Linked DNA regions of Caenorhabditis elegans. The protein of the gene in region 1 purifies or fractionates together with the protein of each later gene. This does not show direct contact. Each region holds a gene or a part of one and is shown on either strand. Other genes may lie near its edges.

Region 1 (4,072 bases):
AAATACTCATCACTCGAAGAGTTTGGATTTCAACTTCATGCTAACCAAACTATTGGACATTACATTGGAATAGTTTATGCAGGGAGTATTGGTGAAACAGCTGGGCTTAAAACCGGGGAACGAATTGTCGGAGTAAATGGGCAACTGATTTATCCAACTAATACACATAAAGAAGTTGTTCCTCTGATGAAACAAAATGCAATGAAAACAACACTTTTGGAAGTACACTAAGAAACATAATCTAGCTTATACGTGGAGTGAAGCTAAGAAATTTCCCGTTCGTAGAGATGCTTCAGAACACTCATTCGATGCTATTGGTTCCACTTTGTTTCATCCTGATTAAAAATTAAAAAAATTGCATAACAACAACATTAACAATAAATATACCTCTGAAACACATGGCAATTTAATTTTTTGGAAGTATGGTTGTACAGTTTGAAGGGTTGACAATTTTTTTCGAAAAAAGTTATGTCATAATTAAGATGATTATCCGAACAAAATGTTCTCTTGGTTACTGTAACTTCGTAAATGCAAAGGGAATATTTTTACTTTCCAAGACTTCATATGAACACAATTTCCAGTAAAGAACAATTACAATTATATTCAAACAAAAAATTGTTCGTGCTCATCAATCTAAGTTGTTGATTGAATTTCCAGTGCTTGCTCTTCATCCAAGTTTTCTCCGACCAAAACTCTGATAAATCGATCAATGAAACCAGCAAATCTCTCTGGAATTTGAAAAGGAAGAGTTTTCCGAACATCTCTTGTTAGATAATAAACTTCTTTCAATGTTTCTCTGCTGCTTTTTCCTTGAATTTTTAAATTCCGATTTATTATTGCAGTGACCTTGTCCAGCTCTTCAGTTGTACATAATACAAAAAAGTTCCACATATCAATTGGTTGAATTTCAGCGTCAACGTGATTTATTTCAAGAAAATCTCGAAAATTCTCAAGTTTGTCGACCGTTTTCTGCCACTCTGAATTGCCTTTTGAATCTCTCAATTTTTCTTTTGAAATTTGAAGTTCTCGTTCCGCAGATTTTAAGAATAATGACTGTGCAGCTTGAGTCATGATTGATACAATTTTCAATAATACCTGCCAACATGGAGGTGCTGATATTCTCACAAGATCATTCTTCAACCATTTCATTATTTCCGGATAGGTCTCTTTGACGAAATGATAGTACATATTGTAGAATCTCAGTTGATTCTTCTTGTTCTTGAATTCTTCAATTTCACGCTCAATTTGCTTCATGGAAAATGAGAACATTGAAAGATAATTAAGAGCTTTAGCTATATCATACAATCTCTTGATATTCTTCATCATTACCACATCTTCTTTCAAACCATTATTAATTACACAGTCTGCACAAATTCCGATACTTTTGATTCGAAGAATTATTGTCTCCAGAAGTTCATCAGTGGTATGTGGTGTTAAATCAAAGGAATTTTCACCAGTTTTCACCAATAGCCCTGCCTGTACTGCACTGTTGGTACATACCCGAAGCATTGTGGAATAGTCATTACATTTTGAACACGGTCCGTTGAAGTGTTCCTGAAATGAGAAATGCATTTGAACAAGTTTAGAATTGTTTCAAATAGACATATATTAACGGCAATTCATACAGTGCGTACAATTTCTATACGCCACGCTACATCCAAAACATTAAAAAAAAACAGTTATAAGCAGTTTGCCGAGCTCGACAAACGGCAAATTCTGCAAATTTGCCGCACACCCCTGGTATAGGTTTCTTGAGGCGTTTTTTTTAAATTAATGAATTGATAATATTTACCAGCGTATTTTATTATGGGGTCATTTTTTACCTTTGGGTCAAACTTAAAAATCCAGATATCAGAAAACGAAAATGCATTTTTCTTCATTTCGACCATTTCCATTGCACTTCTATTGATACACTTTACACCGAATGAATCTATCTGATTGCAAATCGAGCATATATCCGATGATTTTCGATCAAAACATGATTCACATATCGAATGACCACATTTTCCAGAACATATCTTTCTTTTATTATCATCTAAAAAGAAGTTAAGTTTGTATAGATTTAAAAATAAATCTCAAAACATACCGTAAATCTTTTCGCATTTTGAGCATTGCGTTGAAATGGTCAGAGACATTGTGCCGAAATTTTAAATTTTAAATGAATGTTTTAAATTCGATATTGAGTAGTTAATAGTGACTCCAAATACGAAGAAAATTGTCAAATAAAGACATTTTAACGATGAGCAAGTAAACACAAACACCTTGTTTTGTTTATCAAAGCGATTAACAATACGATAAAAATTGTGAAAATATATCGGTTATGAAATTTCCTCAAAATATTATTTTGTCAACAAGATACAACCAAAAGTTCAGCAATCTTCCATGTTCACACTCAAATATTTAACATTTTTCTTACGGATTTTGAGAGAGAACTCAAAAGATCCCATAGTTTTGGTGTTAACATTCCTATCTGATGCTACACGTGAAATAAATCGTGTTTTCAAAAGAGTAGGAAAAAACGATAATTCCCTAGTTAGTTCAATCGCATATGGCACAGCTGCAATCAATAAAGAAAACGAATATTTTCGACTAGAACGTCATAATGTGAGAGGATGTCCGAATGAAAGATGTACCAACTATTGTGAGTTCTTTGTCAAAACATTCTGGACATGGTATCAAGATGTGACATCGCCCAGTTACAACGCACAAAGAAGAGAGCTCAAAAGAGCGGCGTTGACTCCTATCATAACAACCATTTAGACACAAACATGCACTCTCTGTTGTAACTGGGCGATGTCACATCTCCATACTAAGGGCCTGATGTTATGCCGTACACAGAATTTAGGTTTATTTTTAAAATAACTAAAACTCGCCATAGTTGGTACATCTTTCATTTTTCCATCCTAACACGTTATGACGTTCTAGTCGAAAATATTTCCTTTCAAGTAACGAATGACCGCATTTTCCAGAACATATTTTTCATTACAGAAAAGTGGTAGGAACAGTAGTATATATTATCATATAATACATTATCATATAATTCATAAAAATAAAACAATTTCATAATGCAAATAAATTTTACAAAAGATATCTAGCGAAAATGGCAATGAATGACAAGGTAATAGTAGCAGATGAGGTAGATTTAGTTGTAGCCTGAACAGTTGAAGCTGTTACAGGTTGAGAAGTTGATCCAGTCCCTGGTTTAGCTGTTGAACCAGTTCCAGGTATCTGGGTTGCTCCAGTGGCTGGAGATTGATTCAACCATTTAGCAATATTTTGATCGACGAGATCTCTGACAACCTTGAGCCCTGGAACATCGGCATCTCTAGCTGGATACATATCAGCACAATGAGCAGTTCCATCGATTAAGTATGAAACAACTGATGAATCAGTTGGATAATACAGACCAAGTGCATGCCAAGGATCAACATTTCCATTTGGAAGAACCACATTTGTTCCTCTATAATGGAAACGCTCTCCGTATTTGTAATTGGTGTTTGCAATTGAATAGTCAATACTTGTTCTCTGGTATTGGTTGTTAAAGACGTCCATGCACATTTGAACGTACATACTAAAAATTAATAAGATTTGAAATTAAATTTTCAATTTCGGTGAATAATTCAAAAAACTTACTTCACAGGTGTTGGAGATCCAAAGATACCATTTCCAGAGTCTGCAGACTGGAAATATCCAAATTCGGAGCAAGTCTGCCAAGTCCAGAGGAGTCCTGCAGCAGAGTCCGGTCCATAATGTTGAGCAGTTTTCAAATAAGTAATCATGTTCTGATAGTTATTATCCATTCCTGTGTATTGTCCTCCGTTGTAGAAAATAATCATAAACTGATTGAATGCAACAATATTATTCAATGGAGTGTTAGAGTCATTTGACATAATCTTGCACATATCAGGAATTCCATATCCGTTTGCATATGGGCCAGTGTTGTCTCCAGAATATTGGACAGCTCCTTGGAAGTTTCCATATACATTTGAGAAGAAGTAATGCTGGTCAGTATCAGTAACACTATCAGAAAATGGTGGTTGCAATTGGAAGATGCTTGAAAGATTTTGACGTC
Region 2 (7,700 bases), 3.8 Mb from region 1:
TTGATTCAAAAATGAAAGACCCTCAACATCAACTGATTTCTCAATAATGTTTATTCCAACACGAATAGCTCCCGGTTTCACAAATTTACTGAATTGAGCCATTACATGCCAAATTGGTTGTTTGTAGTACTCTTGAGCAGTTGCATTCACGATTATTGTTGAATCGACAAAGTTTTTGGCAAGATTTGGTCCTCCTGGAAAATAAATATTAGAAAACTGTTTCAACCTAGTTATATCAAAGATTTAAAATTCTAAATCTGTTTCTTACTATGGTTTTTGATGTTTTTAAATTAAAAAATCGCAAGTGTTGCTACACTTCACAAACCAACCTTGTAAATCAAGAATATAATTCCAATCAACCCATCCTCCAACCCAATTTCCCATATCTTTAATCAAATCATTTGCATATTGTTCAGCTCTAGACCATGATCCCAATTTTGGTCCATCTGCTGGGAAGTATCCAGCACATGCTTCAGTTGCCAAAAGGAAATAGTCTGGGAACTTCTCGTGAGTTTCAGTGAGTACGGTTGCTGGGTCAATGAAGTCTTCATACCAATGAATTGCAATTCCGTGGACGTATTGAGCAGCAGTTGGATCCGTTAAAATCTAAAATTTTATTTTAAAAGAGTGGGGACGTCGGAATGGGATATGATTTTTAATCAAGGGTTAAAAATTCAAATAGGTAAATTCTGCGGATAACTCTTCCCAAGGCCAAAGAAAGATTGATGGCAATAATAATTTTCTTATATTTATTTTGAATGTAAAACAGCACAAAGTTTGATTATTTTATGTTTTTCCCTACTGTTGCATAACTGTTTCAACAAAACGACAACTCACCACATTTGGCCAATTTGGCAAAATAATTTCCTGATTATCATTCATCATAATCTTCAAATTCTAACAATTAGTCAATAAATACTTCATTACACTTTGTTTCATAATTTACCAAAGACTACGGAAAGCTCAAAAATACCTCAATTTTGATTCCCAAAAACAGTACTTTTGTTTCGACTGTTTTGTTTATAATTTCTATATATATATTTATTTTGAATGTGAAACAGTACAATTTTTGAATATCTGATATGTTTCAATGTTTCAACAAATCCATTTTAGCATTACGTTTCTTATCAGTTTTGCACATTTTGTCGTTCGATTTTAATTTTTTCTAAAACAATTTACACAACTGTTGAACTATTCGGTCAATTCAGTAATAATTGTAGGTGAAAGCGAGTTTTAAAATTAAAATAACCGTTCTAGTGTCTTGATTCGAAAAAAATTCGAAAATACTTAATTACAATGGAGTCTTAATAGTGTTAAAAAACGGTAAGTACCTAATAGAAAACAAAAAAATAAACAAAGGAAAGAGCTATAAAAGTTTTGAAAATTTTCAATAAATAAAAGAGGTTTTGTTTCTCGTATTGGATTACTGTTTTGTTTATAATTTTAATATATTTATTTTGAATGTGAAACAGTATCTAATTAATTTTTAGTCATTCAATCATTTCTACCTATTACTCAATGTTTTATCCCACCAATAACTTACTACATTTGGCCAGTGTGGCAAATTAATTCTCTGATCATCATTAATCATAATCTTCAAATTCTTAGTCACTGGTGATGAAGCAAGTGCTGGTCCCAAAAGTTTCTTTATAAAATTTCGTTCCATTGATGCATCGAAAAAGAGTGTTTGCCATTTCCAAAGTGGATCAATTCCAGTTGTTGGCTCGTTTTGTGGTGTCAAAGACCAAAAGTCAATACCTTGAGCGTGATAGGCTTCGAAGAATCTTTCATTTTATAATTTTATTTTTTATTTCTTTGAAAATAAGAACTTACTTTACAAAGTACTGTGCCCATGTCTGATAGTATTTTCCATTCTGATCTCCCAATAGCTCTCCGGCACCAACCATTCTTCCAGAAGTTTTCATCCATCCTGGGGAGCTCCATGGAGTTGCAAATAGCTTTAATTTCCCTCCAGAAGCTGTCATTGCCTTCTTGATAAATGGAATTTTATACTGGAGATCTTCCACTGTTAAATTGAAATTTTTGAGATCAAAATCAAATTTAACGTCGTCATAACTGTACTCGTGAGTTGAAAAGTCAGTTGAAGCCATTGGAACTCGTCCAAAAACATACCCGAGACCTAAATTATTTATTTTTCAAGCTTAATCTTTTGAAAATAACTTACCATCATCGGAAAAGTATTGCTGAATAATTTGATCTTGCATTGTCTGTGGCAGCATCTTCATATTAATTCCAGCAGCATCAGTGAATGCAGCTCCAAATCCCATTACCGGTTGAAAACTTTGAGTTGTGTTCACATATACTTTTGTTTTGGCTACAAAAACGATGTATCATATCAACAATTGTTACAAAATAATTGTGAAACAGTAGAATAATTTTTTGCCAACTTCAAAATAAAAAAATATCATTCTCTAAATTCTAATATTATAAAGGTTTTTGTGTTAGTTGAGCGGTGCCTGCCTCTCTATCTAAGAGCCTGCCTACCGCCTATTTTGCATCAGTTTCGAACCAGAAGTTACTGATAAGCTTCCGGTGTATTCTGGAGGCAGGCAGACAGGAATGCAGGCAAGAATTCTGTGCCTTCATGGAACTTCCTATACAATTAACGTACCTGTAGAAGAAGTTGTATGCTTCAATTCACTTCTGTTCATTCTTTTTCCATTTCTTGATGTTGTATAGACAACTGCTTTCCCAGAAGTAACAGTTCCAAGTGGTTCAATTGTATCACAATACGTGGCATTGCAACGACAAACTATTCCATACTCTTTCTTCACTTCGGAGCAAGGAAGGGACTCTGGAAATTGGCTTCAGTTGTGTTTAGTTAGTTGGAATGGTTTTGGAAATTGTGCAGGACTACGTGTTTAGAAAATGTCTAAAGCTATTTCCAGTTCTGTAAATTGTGGTTATGAAAATTTTTACCATACGAAATACATATTTCAAATTTTACATTTCATAAATAAATTTGTTGAAACGGAATTTTTTAAAACTGTTTTATCCATGTTTTGCCTGCACATTGCAAGCAATGAATACAATACATTAATTACCGTATTTCTTCTATTAGTCTTGCATATGCAATTATGAAAAAGCTTTTTTTAAAGCATTTTTTCTAAAAAAGTTTCTAAAATAATTTTTTTACAGTCTGCTGCCCATTTAGATTAAAGGATACGAAAATTAATTTTGAAGAAAAATAGTTACGATTAGAAAAATATTAAATTTTGCATTTAGCAGATTGAAACTGAGTTATTTTCCTAAAAAAAATTATAACTGTTATCTGTTATCTATTAATTAAGGTTTGTTAATTGTAAACTCTGATAATTCAAATGTTTGACAATTTGAAAAAATCTGATACATATGTGTATAAGCGTAATGAAATCATTGCTCAAATATTGAAAAAAGATACTATTATCAATTCAATACCAATCCAAAACTCATATTATAACACAGAAACAGTAATTTTTTATTGGGATAACAACAAAAAGTTATGAATTTTTTCTTTTTTTACTTTTTTTTACCTCGGAGCAGTAGAAACTTTTCATGTTGGCAATTATGTTAAGATTGATGTCTACAATGATTTTTGAAATGACAAATTTTTTTTTAAATACCGTTTCACATAATCTTTAGAAGTCTTCAAAAAATATTGTTATCGTTGAATCCAATTTAGATGTAGCAAAACTGACGAATCCGAACTAAGAATTAGGGTCTTAATTTAATCGATTTCTGAGTGCAAAAGTCCAGATTTGTCCGTTTTAGTCACATTTGGTTCGCATTTATTGAAATTTTATAAACGCATTTGAGGACAGTTATATCTAATACATTTTCTTGTTCGCAACAGAATCATAAAAGTGTGGGATTTTAACAGATCATGTTGGAACAGAGTTTTTTTTGTGAAAATAAATATTAAAAAGTTGTAGCTTCAAATGCATTTTTCATGCTCGATATTTGTTTTAATTTGTATTTTTAATTTGTAAAACTTCTGTATCAACTTTCCACAATTTCCACATTTTGTTTAAAAAAAGATTTGTTCGAATTGCACGAATTAAGTAATACAAATACTAACTCAAATATTATACCTCGGAAACGGCAATATTTTTCAATGGGAATTTTTAAATTTTTTTAAATAGAAGTTATTAAATGATTATTGAGAATTCAGTTCCATTGAATTCAGTTCCAGTATTACTGTTTCTCAGTCATGATATGACAATTTGTCATATCATAACTGACTAGGGAGTGCTTTCACTATACGGTGCGATCGAGTAAAAGTAAACGTGTTATGCGATAGCTGGCATCTTAGGCTTTCAGAATCTGTAATTTGTTTCGGCGGAAGACCTCTGTGAGTCTGGAAATTTTCATCTGAAAATGTAGTACTGAAATCAGTTCATTTCCTATGGTTAACAGTGGATTTTGTCTCTGGCGCCAACAGAAGTCTCACCACAATGGTGGAAGGGCGAAATCATCGCTTCGGTGGTCGAGTGGTGAACGCGTTCGCCTCTTGAGCAGAAGTTTGTGGGTTCGGTTCCCACACATGGTTTAAATTTTGGCCTTTTTTATACAAAATTTTTAGAACGGGAAACAAATGTTTAAAACAGTTTTTTGAGGTTTTTACATTACTTTTTTGCTTTTTGATTGAACCACAATTACCCTGGAAACTTTTCAGAAATTTTTATTTTTTTCGAAAATTGCCACTTTTTTCTCCCATGAGAAAATTGGTTCCAAAAATTTTGTTTGAAATTTTTTCAAAAATGTATGAAATATTGTAGAGTGTCACGAATAACTTATTTTTCATTGTTTTCAATGACCGAATCACTGATTCTGATGCCGTATCAAGACGTTTTACCAAATCGATATTGGCAAAACATCTTGTTTTTGAGGCTCCATATCTCTGCAGAAAAAAATCGCACTAAAAGTGATCAACTAGAAACTTGTTAAACACAATGTGATCTAAAACTTTTCAGTTGAACACTTTTTTGTAAAAAATTTGGTTGCCAGGTTGGAACCAATTGATTTGAGCGTCATTATTTTTGAATATTCTAAATAGTTAAAGGTCTATATCTTGGGAACCAAATTTTTTACAAAAAAGTGTTCAACTGAAAAGTTTTAGATCACATTGTGTTTAACAAGTTTCTAGTTGATCACTTTTTAGTGCGATTTTTTCTGCAGAGATATGGAGCCTCAAAAACAAGATGTTTTGCCAATATCGATTTGGTAAAACGTCTTGATACGGCATCAGAATCAGTGATTCGGTCATTGAAAACAATGAAAAATAAGTTATTCGTGACACTCTACAATATTTCATACATTTTTGAAAAAATTTCAAACAAAATTTTTGGAACCAATTTTCTCATGGGAGAAAAAAGTGGCAATTTTCGAAAAAAATAAAAATTTCTGAAAAGTTTCCAGGGTAATTGTGGTTCAATCAAAAAGCAAAAAAGTAATGTAAAAACCTCAAAAAACTGTTTTAAACATTTGTTTCCCGTTCTAAAAATTTTGTATAAAAGAACCCAAAATTTAAACCATGTGTGGGAACCGAACCGACAAACTTCTGCTCAAGAGGCGAACGCGTTCACCACTCGACCACCGAAGCGATGATTTCGCCCTTCCACCATTGTGGTGAGACTTCTGTTGGCGCCAGAGACAAAATCCACTGTTAACCATAGGAAATGAACTGATTTCAGTACTACATTTTCAGATGAAAATTTCCAGACTCACAGAGGTCTTCCGCCGAAACAAATTACAGATTCTGAAAGCCTAAGATGCCAGCTATCGCATAACACGTTTACTTTTACTCGATCGCACCGTATAGTGAAAGCACTCCCTAGTGAGAAACAGTAATATTTTTTTAGAACTTTTCTAAACACTTCCAGGCACTTCTACTACTCACTTGCATCGCTTGAAAATCCATAAAACGCCAGAAATATTAGCAAAGAAACGGATATATTCAAAATCATGATAGCCTAGTCTAGTGTATTCCGTTAAAACCGGACACTTTCCAAGACTACTAATGAATAAATGATAAGAACAATATTTGAAGACACTGACCACGTTTTTATAAAGACTAATCAGTTGGAATATTCTGATCAAAAAATAATTGAAACTGATAAGAAATTATGGAAAAAAGAAGGGAAAACACATAAATTATTGGTTTCAGGCTGCTAACTATGCAGGACATATATAGATAATGACGGGGGCAATGGACAAATCATGGTATGATAAAGTTCGTGGTATGAGCGTGAGTGAGCTACATGTTGTCACCTATAGTGATCTGAAAACAATAAAGAAATTGGAACTTTAACATATTATTAGCAGGTTCAAAAAATTTTACCGTTTCAGTGTTTAAATTTAATTACGTGGGAAAAATTAATGTAATAACACTCTCATGGTATGCTTTTTACTGTCGTTTCATAAAAAAAAAACTTGCACAATTTAATGAGATTTCAATTATAGAAGAAGTACGAGTTGGAACGAACCGTTTTGATGCTTCTGTAAATTTTATTATTTTTTGAAAACTTTGTTAAAAGGCTTTTTTTTTATTTTGAACATTTATTTCATGCAAAATGAACTAATCAGTTAGGGAAAATTTTAAACCATTAGAAAAATAATAAATTTTTTATTAAGAAATCAAGGAAGCTCGACAAAACTGCTCTTCCTGGTTGGAGCGACAGTAGTTGGAATTTGAACGATGTCTTCACTTTTCTGAAAGTTTAAATTTTGCTGTAATTTTAGTGTTATTTAAATAATTTGAAAACTAAAATTTCAACTGAACCATAATAGTTCAGCATTTTGGTTCAAATCAGCAAGCAATTGTTTTAGTCACTTGAAAAAATTACTGTTTCACAAGTTTTACTTGATTTTCAAATTTCATTAGAAAATTGATCTCATCCTATAAAGCAATTTCAATGCACACGAACATTCTTACGGGTTGCTGCAGTTGGCATGATGACGTCACCGAGTTTTGGAGCACTTGGAACAGCTTTCGATTTTGAGCTAGTTTCTCCGGCTTTGAACTCGGTTCCGCTGAAAAAAATTGTTTTAAAAATAGCCAATATATAGATGAAGTCTGCTTTAAGATTTTTCGATTCAACTTTTTTTCTAAAAATGTGTAATGAATCTTTATATATTTTTTTCTTTTTTTCTTTGGAATCTATTTAAAAATTCTTGTAAGTATTTCGTACCTAAAATTTTCGTATTTCCTATTTCAAAAAAGTTTCACAAAAAAAAGTAACTTACTCTCCCTTCCACTCGTTACACTCATCAAACTGGCAGCAACAAAAAGTGGAATCTTTGGTTTGGAAATGGCATCCGGTCATCTAAAATTGATATAAATTGTCTGATGCTCAGAAAAAAATGAACCAACCGGACATTTCTCCTCCATACTGTGCTCATCGCTCCACGAACTGCATTCACGTCTGCAAAATTATTATTATTCTTGGGCGTAATGTTAAGCATGTAATGTTAAACAATTAAATTGAATGAGTTTTAAAGAACATGTGAAACAGAAAAATTTTTATTATTTGAGTTAAAGGAAATCAAGAAAAATTTCATTGTTTCTGTTTTACTGTTTCTGATTAGAAATTAAGAATTCACTTTAATTTTGTTTTACTATTAATAAGCTTGGATCTCAGAGAGATTTTTTAAAAGTTACACACAAAAATGAGCTTACATGTCACTTTTTGATTTACAGT

The links.
Region 2: the proteins of F23B2.10 (region 1) and gba-4 fractionate together in Caenorhabditis elegans (co-fractionation; one large-scale study listed by BioGRID). This does not show direct contact.

What each region holds. Positions count from the first base shown.
Region 1 is NC_003282.8:9,152,186-9,156,257, forward strand, and holds F23B2.10 (RING-type domain-containing protein), read right to left. Parts: upstream 2,179-4,072; 5' UTR 2,136-2,178; coding exon 2,087-2,135; intron 2,036-2,086; coding exon 1,824-2,035; intron 1,555-1,823; coding exon 634-1,554; 3' UTR 530-633; downstream 1-529. Other genes in the region: pcp-3 (Peptidase S28), read right to left, coding at 3,079-3,571, 3,634-4,072.
Region 2 is NC_003282.8:5,344,873-5,352,572, forward strand, and holds the start of gba-4 (Putative glucosylceramidase 4), read right to left. Parts: upstream 6,026-7,700; 5' UTR 5,967-6,025; coding exon 5,900-5,966; intron 4,550-5,899; exon of another isoform or gene 4,477-4,549; intron 4,058-4,476; exon of another isoform or gene 4,037-4,057; intron 3,850-4,036; exon of another isoform or gene 3,829-3,849; intron 3,690-3,828; exon of another isoform or gene 3,669-3,689; intron 3,424-3,668; exon of another isoform or gene 3,403-3,423; intron 2,949-3,402; exon of another isoform or gene 2,928-2,948; intron 2,816-2,927; coding exon 2,633-2,815; intron 2,345-2,632; exon of another isoform or gene 2,336-2,344; coding exon 2,186-2,335; intron 2,141-2,185; coding exon 1,834-2,140; intron 1,785-1,833; coding exon 1,544-1,784; intron 1,427-1,543; exon of another isoform or gene 1,403-1,426; intron 1,012-1,402; exon of another isoform or gene 991-1,011; intron 727-990; exon of another isoform or gene 702-726; intron 607-701; coding exon 330-606; intron 283-329; exon of another isoform or gene 262-282; intron 195-261; coding exon 1-194. Other genes in the region: Y4C6B.7 (Activin_recp domain-containing protein), read right to left, coding at 6,637-6,711, 6,927-7,032, 7,246-7,325, 7,373-7,424. UniProt on the Caenorhabditis elegans protein: Glucosylceramidase that catalyzes the hydrolysis of glucosylceramides into free ceramides and glucose. C.elegans contains specific sphingoid bases, which are unique or different in structure compared to the sphingoid bases found in other animals.